2 linked regions of the Mytilus edulis genome follow. The protein of the gene in region 2 purifies or fractionates together with the protein of the main gene of each other region. This does not show direct contact. Links are inferred from orthologs where the notes say so. Each region holds a gene or a part of one and is shown on either strand. Other genes may lie near its edges.

Evidence for each region. Proteins that work in one complex are often made in the same cells at the same time.
Region 1: the proteins of unconventional myosin-VI-like (region 2) and leucine-rich repeat and calponin homology domain-containing protein 2-like purify together in Homo sapiens (co-immunoprecipitation; 3 studies listed by BioGRID and IntAct, with this or other methods). This does not show direct contact. The link is inferred for Mytilus edulis from reciprocal best matches to the Homo sapiens genes MYO6 and LRCH3.

The regions. Positions count from the first base shown.
Region 1 is NC_092346.1:79,333,683-79,341,096, reverse strand, and holds the start of leucine-rich repeat and calponin homology domain-containing protein 2-like, read right to left. Parts: upstream 3,011-7,414; 5' UTR 2,947-3,010; coding exon 2,778-2,946; intron 1-2,777. UniProt on the Homo sapiens protein: As part of the DISP complex, may regulate the association of septins with actin and thereby regulate the actin cytoskeleton.
Region 2 is NC_092353.1:45,604,274-45,611,355, forward strand, and holds the start of unconventional myosin-VI-like, read right to left. Parts: upstream 3,014-7,082; 5' UTR 2,885-3,013; exon of another isoform or gene 2,648-2,884; intron 1-2,647. UniProt on the Homo sapiens protein: Myosins are actin-based motor molecules with ATPase activity. Unconventional myosins serve in intracellular movements. Myosin 6 is a reverse-direction motor protein that moves towards the minus-end of actin filaments.

The DNA.
Region 1 (7,414 bases), on a different chromosome or scaffold from region 2:
CGTAATGAACATTTAAATGACACATAGTTTACAAGTGAGAACAAATCTTATGTACAGGTAGCTAAACAAGGTGTATAGATGTGAACAAATGTAATGTGAAACCAGTGCACACTACACTAAACTAATTGTAAACATGTTTACTCTACACGGTGTTTGGTGTGAACACGGCCTAAAATAATTTGGCTCGTTTAACTTTATTTCAATTCTAACATAGTGTTTACTTTGACCCTTTGACAAAGGTATAAAAATTTGAACCAACCATTTAATCAGAAAAAATACACTTGTTGTATTGCAGTTTGTCAAAAACTTATTCTGATCATTGAGAAGCTTAATATTACATTAACCACACAATGTAATCAAAAAGTTTTGCTGATTTTACAGAGTTATCTCCCTGTAGTGTTAGGTACCATCTTAACTATTGAGTTGACCTCTAAAGTCATCTGATGACCATATAAGCGATGTAAACATATATATATATTATAGATATAAATAAATTAGCAAACTCATGTTGCTGGATTTTTCTAGGTCTATTTAATTTCACATGATAAAATAAATGTTTATCATTGTTTTTACCTGTGTAACAATGACTTTTTTGTGAATCTAATCAGTCAATCAAATGATTTACCTTTGTTTCACTTTCAATGTTGACATTCTTTTCCTTTAAATAACTTTACACATACAATTCACATGTTATCCATCTCAAGCTAAGGGGTTTAGTTGAAGCTCACATTAAAACCGATTTAATGAGGTTGAATTATTCACTTGCAAGTGGATAATTCATAATCAGTGCTCTAGCTAGAAATCAAAAGGGGCAGGGTGCCAGTGGAGGGCAGGGCACTTTTTATGATAAGAAAAGGCACTGCTCATTTTTTTTGTCTACGTTTCTGTGTGTATCACGAGTTAACGAATCTCTTTTTTTTTTTTTACTGTATATGTTGTTTTTTTTAAATAAAGATGCTTTTCAACTATAGTCTTTATTTCATTGTTTGTGTAGTTATGAATGATATAGTACATCTTCATCAACATATCATGTTTTTACAGTTTAACTTCACTCTACCCATTATCAAAGAATATGTGTTTTTTTTTTTGTTTTTTTTTTATCTATATAGAAATTATAGCTTTTAATACATCATATGAACTGATATATATATGGTGGTGTTTAACGACCTTGACTGGCTATACAGCCCTGGCACGGTCGGTAAGAAATGAACTTGAAAGCCTTACTAATTTAACAATGTTTAGAACATGGATTGCTAAAAGTATAATTATCAAGTAGAAATTGCAATATATATTTTTTAATATGTTCAAAGACAGTTAATATCTTTAAGGTAACATTATTATGTTATTATATATTCAATTGGTAATTTATTCCTTTTTTTGATACTAGATAATATTTTTAGAGCACAAATTTGTAATAAGCTAAAACAGGGGAAGTAACTCCAAAATCAATTTCCACCACCTTTGGGTTAATTAAAAACTGTGCTTGTCGCTAACAAGTTGAGATGGAAGGCATTTCTGTAAAGGCATAGTTTTATTTTGATGACTTAAATTCAATTCTAAAGTCATGAAAGTCTTCATTTATATACGCTCTTCCATTGTGACTTGGAGATTGAAAACGCCGACCCAAGCTAAACACACTCGCTGACACATTCATCACTTATTAATTAATGTTTTTGTCGCTTATTTTGACAAAATTGAACCATACATGTACATACTGGGTGCTAAAAGTGAAATCTTATTTCACTATTTGCATTTCACTAATGATTGTGCAAAAATAATAATGTATAAGATTTTTTATATATCTCCTAGCTAGTGCCCCTTTAAGTGGGGCAAGTTGGCAGGAGAAAAATTTACGGGATGTACATGCAACCCTTTTCACAAGTGTTCCGATTTTTTTTAAAGTGGGACGAGTTGGTGAAAAAGCAGCAATTTTTCCTGCTTCCACATCATCTTTCCATCAGAAAGTAAAGTTAAAGGATAATTCTAACTTCTTAAGAAATTCCTGTACAGGAACAAGTCGACAAGAAGAGGGGCACAGTTAGTTCCCATCTGAATGCAGATATAAAAAAAGAAGATGTGGTATGATTGCCAATGAGAAAACTCCCCATGAGAGACCAAAATGACACAGAAATTAATAACTATAGGTCATTGTACAGCATTCAACATTGTGCAAAGCCCATACCGCATAGTCAGCTATAAAAGGCCCTGATAGTTTGTTGAAAAACAAGTTCTCCAAATGTCACAAATATGTTGTCAATCAAGAAATAAAGCATCTTGATAATGTCAGTTGTTGATTGCTTAAGCCTATATCTATGATTATATTTGATACGCTTTACTTGAGAAACCACTCTCTCAAGACTCAACCTTAGCTGTGCTCCAAAGCCTTATTGATGGCCACTATATATTGAGCCTTTTATGGGAAACCTGTTTCAGTGTGGCTAGTTTTTCTTTTAACTGATAAAACAGGCTACAGCAAAAATTCACATGTATGAATATAAGTTAAATAATAATAAAATAATTTTGCAGTAAGACAATTTGAAATACTCCAAAAATTATATTATGATATCAACTATCAGTATCATGGAACGTCCAGACTGTCAAGGAAATTTGGATTTAGTGTGTATAACCATAACATATAAATTCATGGACATGAGAGGGGACGAAGATGATATTTGCTTAGCAATATACAAAATACGCTGGTTGACAACTTTTTACTACAATAAACCAACATAATTTTGTAAACACTGGTTGACTGGGGAAGTCGAAGGGGCACTCACCAGCAGAGATTGTATCAACTAAATCATATCTAGACGAGATCTTTGGATATTCTCTTAATTTTCTGCCACATAAACACACTGCCCCGGTTGACTGAGCTTCGTCGAAAATCTTTTCTAGGGGTTTATGTGATGTTGGGCTCTGTGTTCCGGTGCTGAATGTTGTCGCCATTTTGTACTTTCATGTTGGATTCAGATTATGCGCAAGCGCACGACTTTAACATAAATTTTACACTGGTTCCCTGTATAGAAAAAAGTAAAAGCTTTCACAAAAAGCACAACTTACTAAAAGTTATACTTTTATTATAATTTAATTATACAGTATCTACTTTTTACTTGGAATATTTTTTTCTATTTGTATCATAACCAGCTTGCAATTTAAATTGTTTAGTTTCATTATCAGCTTTTCTATCAGTAAATTTCTTATAATTTTATTGTCCCAGTGTGTTGCATTTATAAAAAAGGGGACATAATAATACCAGACATCCTTCTGTTTAGTCTTGTTAGAAATCTCATGTTTAGGATTCAGTGAGAGACAGCAGTTCCTTGTAAACTTTCACAGAAACCTTACTTTTTAGATAATTCATCGCTTTATGTGTTATATGTACATCATGTTTTGAAACATTTTTTTATATGTTTTCATCTGAGACTACTATAACACTATGTGGTATATGTGTTATAGTAGTCTCAGGTTTTCATATTCAGTCAAATCGGTTTCATTGTTTGATATCATGCCGAATTCAAATAAAGTTTTCAAGATCAATAAAATTTCAATATGAAGGCCGCATTTCTTTTTGTAAATGTTGTGTCGCGTTTGTTGTTGTTTTCTAAACGCTACAAAAGTAGAAACAAATACATCGTTTAATAAGTCTTTACTGACCCTGTTTGAACTTCAATAAGGCATGCACATGTTGTTGGTAAACAGACTTTCTACAAACGCATAGAAACAAATACTTCGTTTAATCAGATTGAAGTAAGAAACAAATGTAGTGTGTGTCCTAACAAACAACTAACTGCAGACGCATTTTTATCGTTTGCCTAGTTTGTCAAAGTTTATGCAAACTTTACAAACATATGTTTGAAAGAAATGATCAAAACACATGCACGCTTAGCCGTTTGCATGGTTTGTGTTAGAAAAAATGCAATCCAAGTTATCATTAAAAATCTATAAAAAATGCATATTTTGCATTACAGAACATACCATCAAAGGATCGATTAAGCTAATTTAAGTTTTTTTTACATTGTTATTCTTATTGTATCAGCTGATTCAAAAAGTAATTGCAGAAACCCCAAGCTTCTCGAAATCAGAGCTTTCTAAGCTGAAGCAAATTATCCAAGCTGATATATCTGAACATTTCAAAAAATTCAAAGACCACTTTTTTTCAATCAAAATCATCATTTGGAATTTGGACAATTACCACACTATTCAGAAGACACTCAATTAAATATAGATTAGACCGTTGGTTTTCCTGTTTGAATAGGTTTACACAAGTCATTTTGGGGCCTTTTATAGCTTGCTGTTCGGTGTGAGCCAAGGCTTCGTGTTGAAGGACGTACTTTGGCTTATATAGCTTAATTCTGTTCAGTGTGAGCCAAGGCTTGGTGTTGAAGACGTACTTTGGCTTATATATATTAGTGTCACTGATGAGTCGTATGTAGAGGAGACGCGTCTGGGGATAAAATTATAATCCTGGTACCTTTGATGACTATTTACACCACTGGGTCGATGCCACTGCTGGTGGACGTTTCGTCCCACAGGGTATCACAAGCCCAGTAGTCAGCACTTCGGTGTTGACAAGATATATATGGCCATGAATACCATGATGATGGCACCCAGGTAAGTACCAGACTCCAAATAATCAAACTGTCAAATAGCAATTACTCTGTGGAACAACATTACCAATAGATAAGAACATGTTGTTCAATGGTGGTCATTTGTTGGTGAGGTTCATACACGCTTCTCGTTTTTTTTAAATATAGATTAGACTGTTGGTTTTCCTGTTTGAATAGGTTTACACAAGTCATTTTGGGGCTCTTTATAGCTTGCTGTTCGGTGTGAGCCAAGGCTTCGTGTTGAAGGACGTACTTTGGCTTATATAGCTTAATTCTGTTCAGTGTGAGCCAAGGCTTGGTGTTGAAGACGTCATTTGGCTTATATATATTAGTGTCACTGATGAGTCGTATGTAGAGGAGACGCGTCTGGGGATAAAATTATAATCCTGGTACCTTTGATGACTATTTACACCACTGGGTCGATGCCACTGCTGGTGGACGTTTCGTCCCACAGGGTATCACAAGCCCAGTAGTCAGCACTTCGGTGTTGACAAGATATATATGGCCATATTTATAAATTTCCTGTTACAAAACTTTGAATTTTTCGAGAAAAAAAAAGGATTTTCTAATTCCATGAATAGATTACCTTAGCCGTATTTGGCACAACTTTTTTGAATTTTGGGTCCTCAATGCTCTTCAACTTTGTACCCGTTTGGCTTTTTAACTATTTTGAGTGTCACTGATGAGTCTCATGTATGCGTCTTGCATATTAAATTATAATCCTGGTACCTTTGATAATTTATATAGCTTAATGCTGTTCGGTGTGAGCCAGGTTTAGGTTTGGTACCATTCAAACATTTAAACCTGCGGCAATTGATTGCACCTGTCGTAAGTCAGGTTTCTTATGTTCTGTAGTTGTGGTTTGTTGATGTGATTCATAATTGTTTTTCGTTTCTTGTTTTTTATATAGATTGCTGGTTTTCCCGTCTGAATGGTTTTACACTAATTATTTTTTGGGGCCCTTTATAACTTGCTGTTTGGTGTGAGCCAAAGCTTCGTGTTGAGACAGTACTTTGACATATAATGGTTTACTTTTATAAATTGTGACTTGGATGGAGAGTTGTCTCATTGGCACTCATACCTCATCTTCTTATATCTATGAATATGACAAATTTATTTCTAATAATTACAGGACAATCTATTATCTAGTAATAATATGACTGAAAACAACACAAAATTTAAGTTATCACATTTATTTTATGAGTTTTTGTGGAGAAAATGTTTCCCCATTTTAAAATTTCAACATCATAATGATTGCCGACACCATACTAATTGAAGTATGGATCAAATACGCCATAACAGTTCACTTAAAATAATACAATCCCAAAAAAATTATCAAAACATTTTCTTGGCCCAACTATTACTTCAACATACTTTTATTTCAAACCAGAACAAAAAAGTAGCAACATTTCGCTGATATTTCGTAAAATAATGATTTTTTTTTAAAAGCATATGAAGCATGACCTTAGTTCAATAATGTTTGTAAATGTTTATCAATATAAACAATGTATAAGTTTTTTTCTGTGATAATTTTGCTACTATAGGCAATCTGCTTTTAAAAAAAAAATCTTCTTTGAATCTACATAGATACAGTTTAAACTCCAATAATTGACAGCATCACTTTTGTTTCTATTCATTCAGTTTTATGGTCACTAATGTAAAAAATATGCCATGTGTAAATTTCTATGACAAACCATATTCTTTTTCATGCTGCTCTTTATAGATGCAGTAAAAAGAAACCAAGAAATTTGTCAAACATATATCTCTTGGATCTAGGGGACAAAATAACTCTGTATAATATTAAGCTGTAAAATGACTAGTTTCCAATTCATGAAATTTGTACATTTATAACATGATTTAAATTTTGTACATTATTATTTTTTTTCATCACATTTCTTAGATGATATATATTTTGTTAACCTTTCACTCGATGTTAATTTTGTATGTTGATGTGTAAGCTTTATTTTATAAAAGGTATATATTAACAGCATTTCCATTATATTATTTAACTCTGAAATATTCTAAGAACTGTTTATTTATACATAGTTGACAAAAAAAACTGTTCTTTAATCTTCATGCATGTATAATGACTATGTTTAAGTCTTTATTTCATACCAAAAGTGTGTTTTAAGGGCCTTTATTTTTTCTATTGAAAGTGTATTCAGTCTTGAACTAAAACATGTTGAGAAAATTGCAAAATAGTCATGTTTTATTCCACAGATTAAGAAAATAAAAATAACTGGCAAAATATTGTATTGTTTTAAAAAATTGATCAGCTATTTCCTGTGATCAGGAATTACAATGCAAATTTAAAATGTTAGAAAAATGCCTTGTTTTTTAAATCTTTCCTCCATAATGACGCCTTTCAACGCCTGTGTAGTGCCTCAGTTCAAATATATTGCCTACGACAAAACTTTATCAGACTTGAAAAAAATTGTATCTAATATAAAAAGGATATTCATGAGAATATCTGACTTGAATTTCATTGATGAAACATTTGTTTTTTCGCAATGCATTTATACTTTTAACCTGATGATTTGTTTTATTGAGAGGAAAGGGTTTTAATGGCAGTAAATTATGAAAGTTTAAACCATTATTTTTCAACTGACTTGAAGATAACTGAATATTTGATGATTTATATGTCATTTTATAGAAGACAAATCTAATGAAAATAAACCATTCTAGACATTTGAATGATAACTTTCAAAGATGGGATGCAGTCCTGTCAAAGTCTATGTTACGTTAATATCTAATACCCCTAAAATTAACAGAAGAATTTAAATATAAACAGTGTAACACATTGCAAT
Region 2 (7,082 bases):
TTTAGGGTATGATAAACATGATGAAATAAATCTGGGAAAAAATATGTATACAAAAAAAAAGAAAAAAAAAGTTCACTTGACATTAAAAAATCACAGTCTGAGAGAGGTTTAAATTAACCAATGCAACTGCATGCACCTTGAGCATTTTGTCAATAAGTAAAATGATGGAATCTTTGGTTATTTGAGCAAATCTTTTCCAAGCAGACACCATAATTACCTTAAAATTAGTAGAAGATATTTCAGAATCTGTCATTGAATTGTGGTAGACAACTAATTACTGCTCTGTGTATTATACATTACAAATGGTATAGACACCATTGACCAATATCAATAAACAAATACATGAAATACTATAACTTTTTCAATTGTGTTATAGTTACATGTACATGTAATTGTTTTATTCCCACCAGGTGAGGACAGGTGTATACCATGTTGTTAATTGACTTGTTATTGACAGGTAAGTGCTAGGTAAGGAAATTACAGTTAATTATGTCATCTTTTGTTATTCGAGATATTTATTTTTTAACCTTTATCTTATATAGTACACAATTTGATTACCTGAGGTTATTTTAGTTGAAAGAAAGGATTAATATTAAATTCTTTGTTCAATTGACACACCATATATATATATATTCTTTATCGTAATATTCTTTATAAAGCACAAAGGTGTCAGTATTCACCTCAGAAACTTACAAAACCTTTGAATAGACTTATTAAGAAGGGATATAATTACGATACTGTTGTCAAGTCATTAAAGATTGCATATTTTGGCGTTAATATTGAGTCACTGATAAGGTCTTTGCATCGGAACTAAACACATTTATTCTAAAAACAGTTGTTGGCATGACACAGGTTATGTTCTTCTCATATATGTTATGATGGTATGATACTAAACCCCTAACGGGAAGGATTGTGCCTGATGTTCATATGATGAAATCATAATCTTTCAGTCAGTTTAGTTGAAGTCTGGAGCTGGCATGTCAGTTAACTGCTAGTAGTCTGTTGTTATTTATGTATTATTGTCATTTTGTTTATTTTCTTTGGTTACATCTTCTGACATCAGACTCGGATTTCTCTTGAACTGAATTTTAATGTGCGTATTGTTATGCGTTTACTTTACTACATTGGTTAGAGGTATAGGGGGAGGGTTGAGATCTCACAAACATGTTTAACCCCGCCGCATTTTTGCGCCTGTCCCAAGTCAGGAGCCTCTGGCCTTTGTTAGTCTTGTATTATTTTAATTTTAGTTTCTTGTGTACAATTTGGAAATTAGTATGGCGTTCATTATCACTGGACTAGTATATATTTGTTTAGGGGCCAGCTGAAGGACGCCTCGGGGTGCGGGAATTTCTCGCTATATTGAAGACCTGTTGGTGACCCTCTGCTGTTGTTTTTTATTTGGGCGGGTTGTTGTCTCTTTGACACATTCCCCATTTCCATTCTCAATTTTATTTAACCTTCAGCAAATTTGCAAATTAAACAGAAGTGATAAAGTTTTGTAAACATTGAAGAAAATTAAGCCCAGCAACAAAACATTTAAATAAAACTGGTTTAGACTTTGCAATTCTAAAATACATACATGTACTGCTGATTGATACTTAGTTTGTGTGCCAATATGAACATGATGAAAATAAGGAGATAGTGTATGTCATTGCCAATGAGACAACAAAAATTTAAAAATAAAGTGGAATTATGGGAAACCATATATATATATAGTCATGATAGTCTTCAACAATGAGAAAAAACATACTGTATAGTTGGCTTTAAAAGATCTTACCTAACTTGAATAATATGAAACCATATTTAATTGAGAAAAATAACCACCTTATTTATCATGTTCTAAATAAACAATTGTTTGTCTACATGGTCTACATGTATTTGAAAAGTGTAGCATTGACCAGTGGTGGATATTGTCATTTATACAACTAAATAAAAACAAAAAACTTAACCTTCATTGCCAAAGGAGGATCCAGGGGTTGATTGAATAGGGAATCACTGAAGCATAAATGGAGAGGGCCCACCGTCAGTCATTGCCCCCACCCCACCGGCACCCCATACAAAAAGTTCTTGATCCGCCACTGAATGCATTGGCTGCTTCTGTCAATGCATTCAATTTGGATTTGAAACTTCAGATCATTATAATGATTATTGGAGTTTTCAATCACTGGCAAAAAGTAAACAAGGAAATTTAATGATAAAATAGACTTGTCATTTGCTTGTGAACTTCCCCCTTCAATATTTGTTTGTCTGTATCACATCCTGTTAAGCAAGCTATAGACATGTGGGTTAAACAGTAACAATGATATTAATTACCAGATAATCTCCTATATGTATTATAATATATGTGATAATCTATATTGAATTGAAAGGGTGTGTCACCTAAATTTGAAAGTTTGCTTTTGTAGCTCTGACATCATTTTAAACGTCAAAAACCCTTGAATTATATCAGATTACAACATACTGCAAACAAGTCATTGATAAAAAATTTAGAAAACCCTTTTTACCTGGAATTATCAAGTATGACTTTTTACATGTTTTACCTGTATATTCAGGTGTGGATATTAGGGTTAATTTCAGAGTTTGTAAAAATGTTGTCACGAATTGACGATTTGTCATCCTTTTGTACTAAATTATTATAAATTCTTACCAAAAATTGTATCCAGTAATTGTGTGTTGAAGGTGTTTCTCTGTTTTATTTCCCAAGTTTATTACCGGTGAGTTGACCTGCTAAAAATAGGAGTAGACGCGCAGTGATATTGAAAACACCTGTTCAAATAGTTCCTTTATTTTCTTTTGTTTTGACCTCTAATAATTACTGGAAGTCCAAGATTTTACCAGCAGAAAGAAAGAGTAAATACATTGGTTTAAGAATCAGTCAACTTACCCAGAGAGTACCAATTTCGTACTTTTTTTGCCAGGTATGCTGAATTGCCGGATGTCAAATAATACACAAAATAAAATGAACCGTTCAAATTCCGGACTAACATTGAAAACTTCAAGAGTTTTAAAATTGTTATTGACAAATTATCAATTTCCATACGATAAATCATCGAAGGACACGCACCTCCATGACCAAAAGAAAAACAAACAAACAAACTAAGGGTCTGGATGGGAGCCTTTAGTTTCCTTAATTGTAATTTTTAAGATTTTTTTTCTTAATCTTTAGAAATAACTCTTATTTTGTTATCTTTTTATGAACATGATTATATTATGTTTTTGTTTCTGCAATTATTCTACTATTTGTTTTTATTCTGTGTGTATGTTCCACTGTGTGCGAAAAATTCTGATCTTCTAACCATTGCAATCGACGAGCAAAAATGTCTGCACCGATATTGTATTTTGAAAGCTTTTCACATTATTTCTAAGCTTTATTAGCTTTGAGAACCTAAAATTGATTAAACTGTAGCTGTTATGATGTCAGCTGCCGTGCCGTGTGTTTTTCTTTTGAGATACGATATTTTCGAACAACAAAATGTCTCACCAATCCGACTACACTTTTTCGTCACATGTCAGAATTCAGGTTAATGATTGGTTAGAAGATCAGATATTTTCGAACATACATATTTAATTCTAAATAATCAATAAAAAGATTTCCACAAAAAATTGAGATACGAGGTTTTTGCATAACAGCGACGATATGTCTTATTTTTGTTTTAATGGATTGCTGTCTCGTCAACGTACACCAACATCTCTCTTTTTTTTTTTATCCATTCATCATTCGAACAAAAAAAAAAAAAAAACCATGATAAAAAATAAAAAAACATGATAAAAATATATATCAGGAGCACATAACTTCAAATTGCGTACCGCGCGGGTCTTCAGGACTGCAAAATTATGGTATACCCACTGTAAAAGTGGACATTATTCTCAGGTAAACAATTTATACATGCTATACTAGTCAAGAAATGACACCACCATATAGCTAAAGATATCAACTAGATCCTATCAATTTCCCTTTGTTTTTTCCTTTGCCGGTGTTCGGACATCCTTTTACTAACCGACTGACCTTTTTTTGAGAAATTTATGTTTTTTTATGACCTGCTGGTTTGTACTAAACATTTGATTTTTATATGTTTAAAATTAAAAAAAAGAGAAAAACAAATATTAATATTCGTACTTCTATAGGCTATAGATATAGTTGACTGAGATAGTTGACATATGTGTTATACTCTGACTGTCGGATTGAATGAGAAAAGTGTCCATAACTCTCCATTTTTCATTAAATGTACTTCGTGGCAAACATTGCAAGAATTTGAAATTCAGTTTTACTAAGGAACCTTTCGTTCATCTTTTCTTGGGGGAGGGAGGGATGTTCAATATGAATAACACACTTTCTATCGTAAATCGTTTACTTAGGAACTGGTCATTTGTAACATTAAGAAAGGGGAAGAAGTTAAGGGGACCTTGATAAGTTTTAAAAATTTAAAGATGTTTAGTCTAATTTTCCAATACTTGAAAATGGGTGTGGGGGGATCAAAATTTGCTCACAGGATTCGAACAATTCTATATAAATATATTTCAAGCCTACAAAAATCATATAGTTAAAATTGACAATAGACACGCGGAATCGTGTCAAAGAGACTACAATACGACCATAGCTAATTTGATGAATACACTAAATCAGTATTTGATTGACTATTTTCAGCAGGAATATCTAATACGCGATTCAGATGTTTTTTCTATATCTCTTGTGTTATCATTTTTTACTTCAAATTTCATTTCAATATTTGTTATATGCAAGTCATGCCATCTTCTGTTTGTTTGTTAGACATGAAGAACGACTATATCAGGGATGGATGGTTTGATGTCTCAGATTTTGCAGATTTTCGAAGCATTGTATGGTTTGTTGTAACGAACACAAGTATTGAGAGATGATGGGATGATTTTTTTTTGTCTTTGGAAAGGATGGGGGGTGTCTTTATTTTATTTTATTATTTCAAGATCAGGACTTGAAAAAAATCAGACTTTCAGTTTAGAATTTCCATTGGAGTTCGGTATTTTTGTTATTTTACTTTTTTCCAAATGTTACGTCCCCCCCCCTCCCCCACCCGAAAGCATAGTCATTTACCCAGTCGACGCACCAAGTCACGCTCCATTTGAATTCGAGCAAGTCCTCAAGTTCAGTTTGTGTGGTTTTTTTTTTTTTTATCTATTTGTCATCCTATTAATCAATTTATGAGAATTTAATGTCGTCAAACCTCTGCTACCTTAATTCATACCTTCAAAATAAATAAGTTTAACATATATTTTTTTTTATGGGATGACAGAAGGGGGATCACAAGTTTTAAAATTTTTGTAACAATTTTAAATTATATATAAATAATATCAGGAGCACACACAACTCAAATTGTGTACCGCGCAGGTCTTCGGGTTTCCAAAATTATTCTATGCTCACTGGTAAAAGTGCTTATTATTCTGAAGTACTAGTAAACAATTTGTAATAGAAAAAAAGATATGGGGCAAAATGATTAGGATAGACTTTGTAAGATGTATCACAGCCAAATCGAGCATTATAAAAAAACATACAGGAAAGTATAACATATTTAAAACAAAATAGTTTCTACGCATAAGGTGTAATATAAAGCTATGTAGAATATATTTTAGTTGTTAAGGTATCAAATGAAAGGTGAATGATTGGTGATCCTTGTACTGACTAATAATTTTGAATAATACAAAACTGTATGAACGAATTCTAAAACTTCGGGCATATATATTGCCTGTTTAATTTCTCGGTACATGTTATACTAGCCAAGAAATAAAACATCACAACACAGATATATATCAACAAATGCTAAACCAATCACAAAAAAGCTTGATCCTATCAATTTTCCTTTGTTTTTTCCTTTGTCTGTATTCGGACATCCTTTTTACTAACAACTGACTTATTTTGAGAAATACATGTTTTTATGACCTGCTGGTTTGTACTAAACATCTGTGTTTTGTTGTTGTATTTTTTAATTAATAATAAAACAGATAAATGTTAACATATATATGTTAATATCCATATGGGCGTTGTTGAATTATATGTTACATTCTGACTGCCTGATTGAAGCAGTGGCGGATCCAGAACTTTGCCTAAGAGGGGGCCCGCTCCAGTCATGCTTCAGTGATTCCCTATATACTCAACCAAATTTTTCCCACGAAAGGGGGGGCCCGGGCCCCCCAGGGCCCCCTTGGATCCGCCTATGTGAAGGCAAAAAGTGTCCATAACTGTCCCTTTTTTTTTAAATTCAAAATGAACATCGTGGCAAACACTCCAAGAATTTGAAATGCAGTTTTACTAAAGCACCGACCGTTCGTATTTTGTCAGGAAGGGAGGGGGGTTCAATCTGATTAAAATAACATATTTATCGTAACTCGTTTACATTTTCAAGGGACTGGTCATTTGTAACCTGAAAGTGGGAAGGATAAATTAAGGGGGCCTGGAAAATTTGGGAATATAAAGTGGGGGTCTAATTTGTTAATAATACTTTAAATGAAAAAAGGAAAAAAGGCAGCGAAATTAATTCACAATATTTGAGCAATAAATTCTGTAATTCACACATGCAAAAATTATAGCTTATTTGATGAATATACTAAATCAGGATATCTAATTTCATTTGATCAATATTTGCTTCATGCAAGTCAAAGCCTTCTTTTATTTGTTTGTTAGATATGAAGAACGCAATATCAGGGATTGATGGTTTAATAATGTCTTAGTTTTTGTAGGTTTTCTGGAAGCTTTTATAGCCCGGCCGATCGGTGAAAAAATTGCTCAAATAATGAGGAAAGCACCAATTTTTGCATGATGGTACATTTTTTTTTGTACTGAGCAATATTAGCTATGGACCCACCCTCAAAATTCAATATGGCGGATTATTTCAAGATGGCTGCCGTACGTTCTAAAATATTTTCCAGTATTGCACAGTGGATTAGATGCTGGAAGCACTAAAATCAACATATTTGAATGACTTGGTGTACTTAGCAAGATTTTGTTTTGATCTATCTTTGAAATACAAAATGGTGGCTATTTTCAAAATGGCCGCCTTGAAAACTAAGCAAATATTCATTATTGAGAATTGACCTGAATATAAGAATTTTAT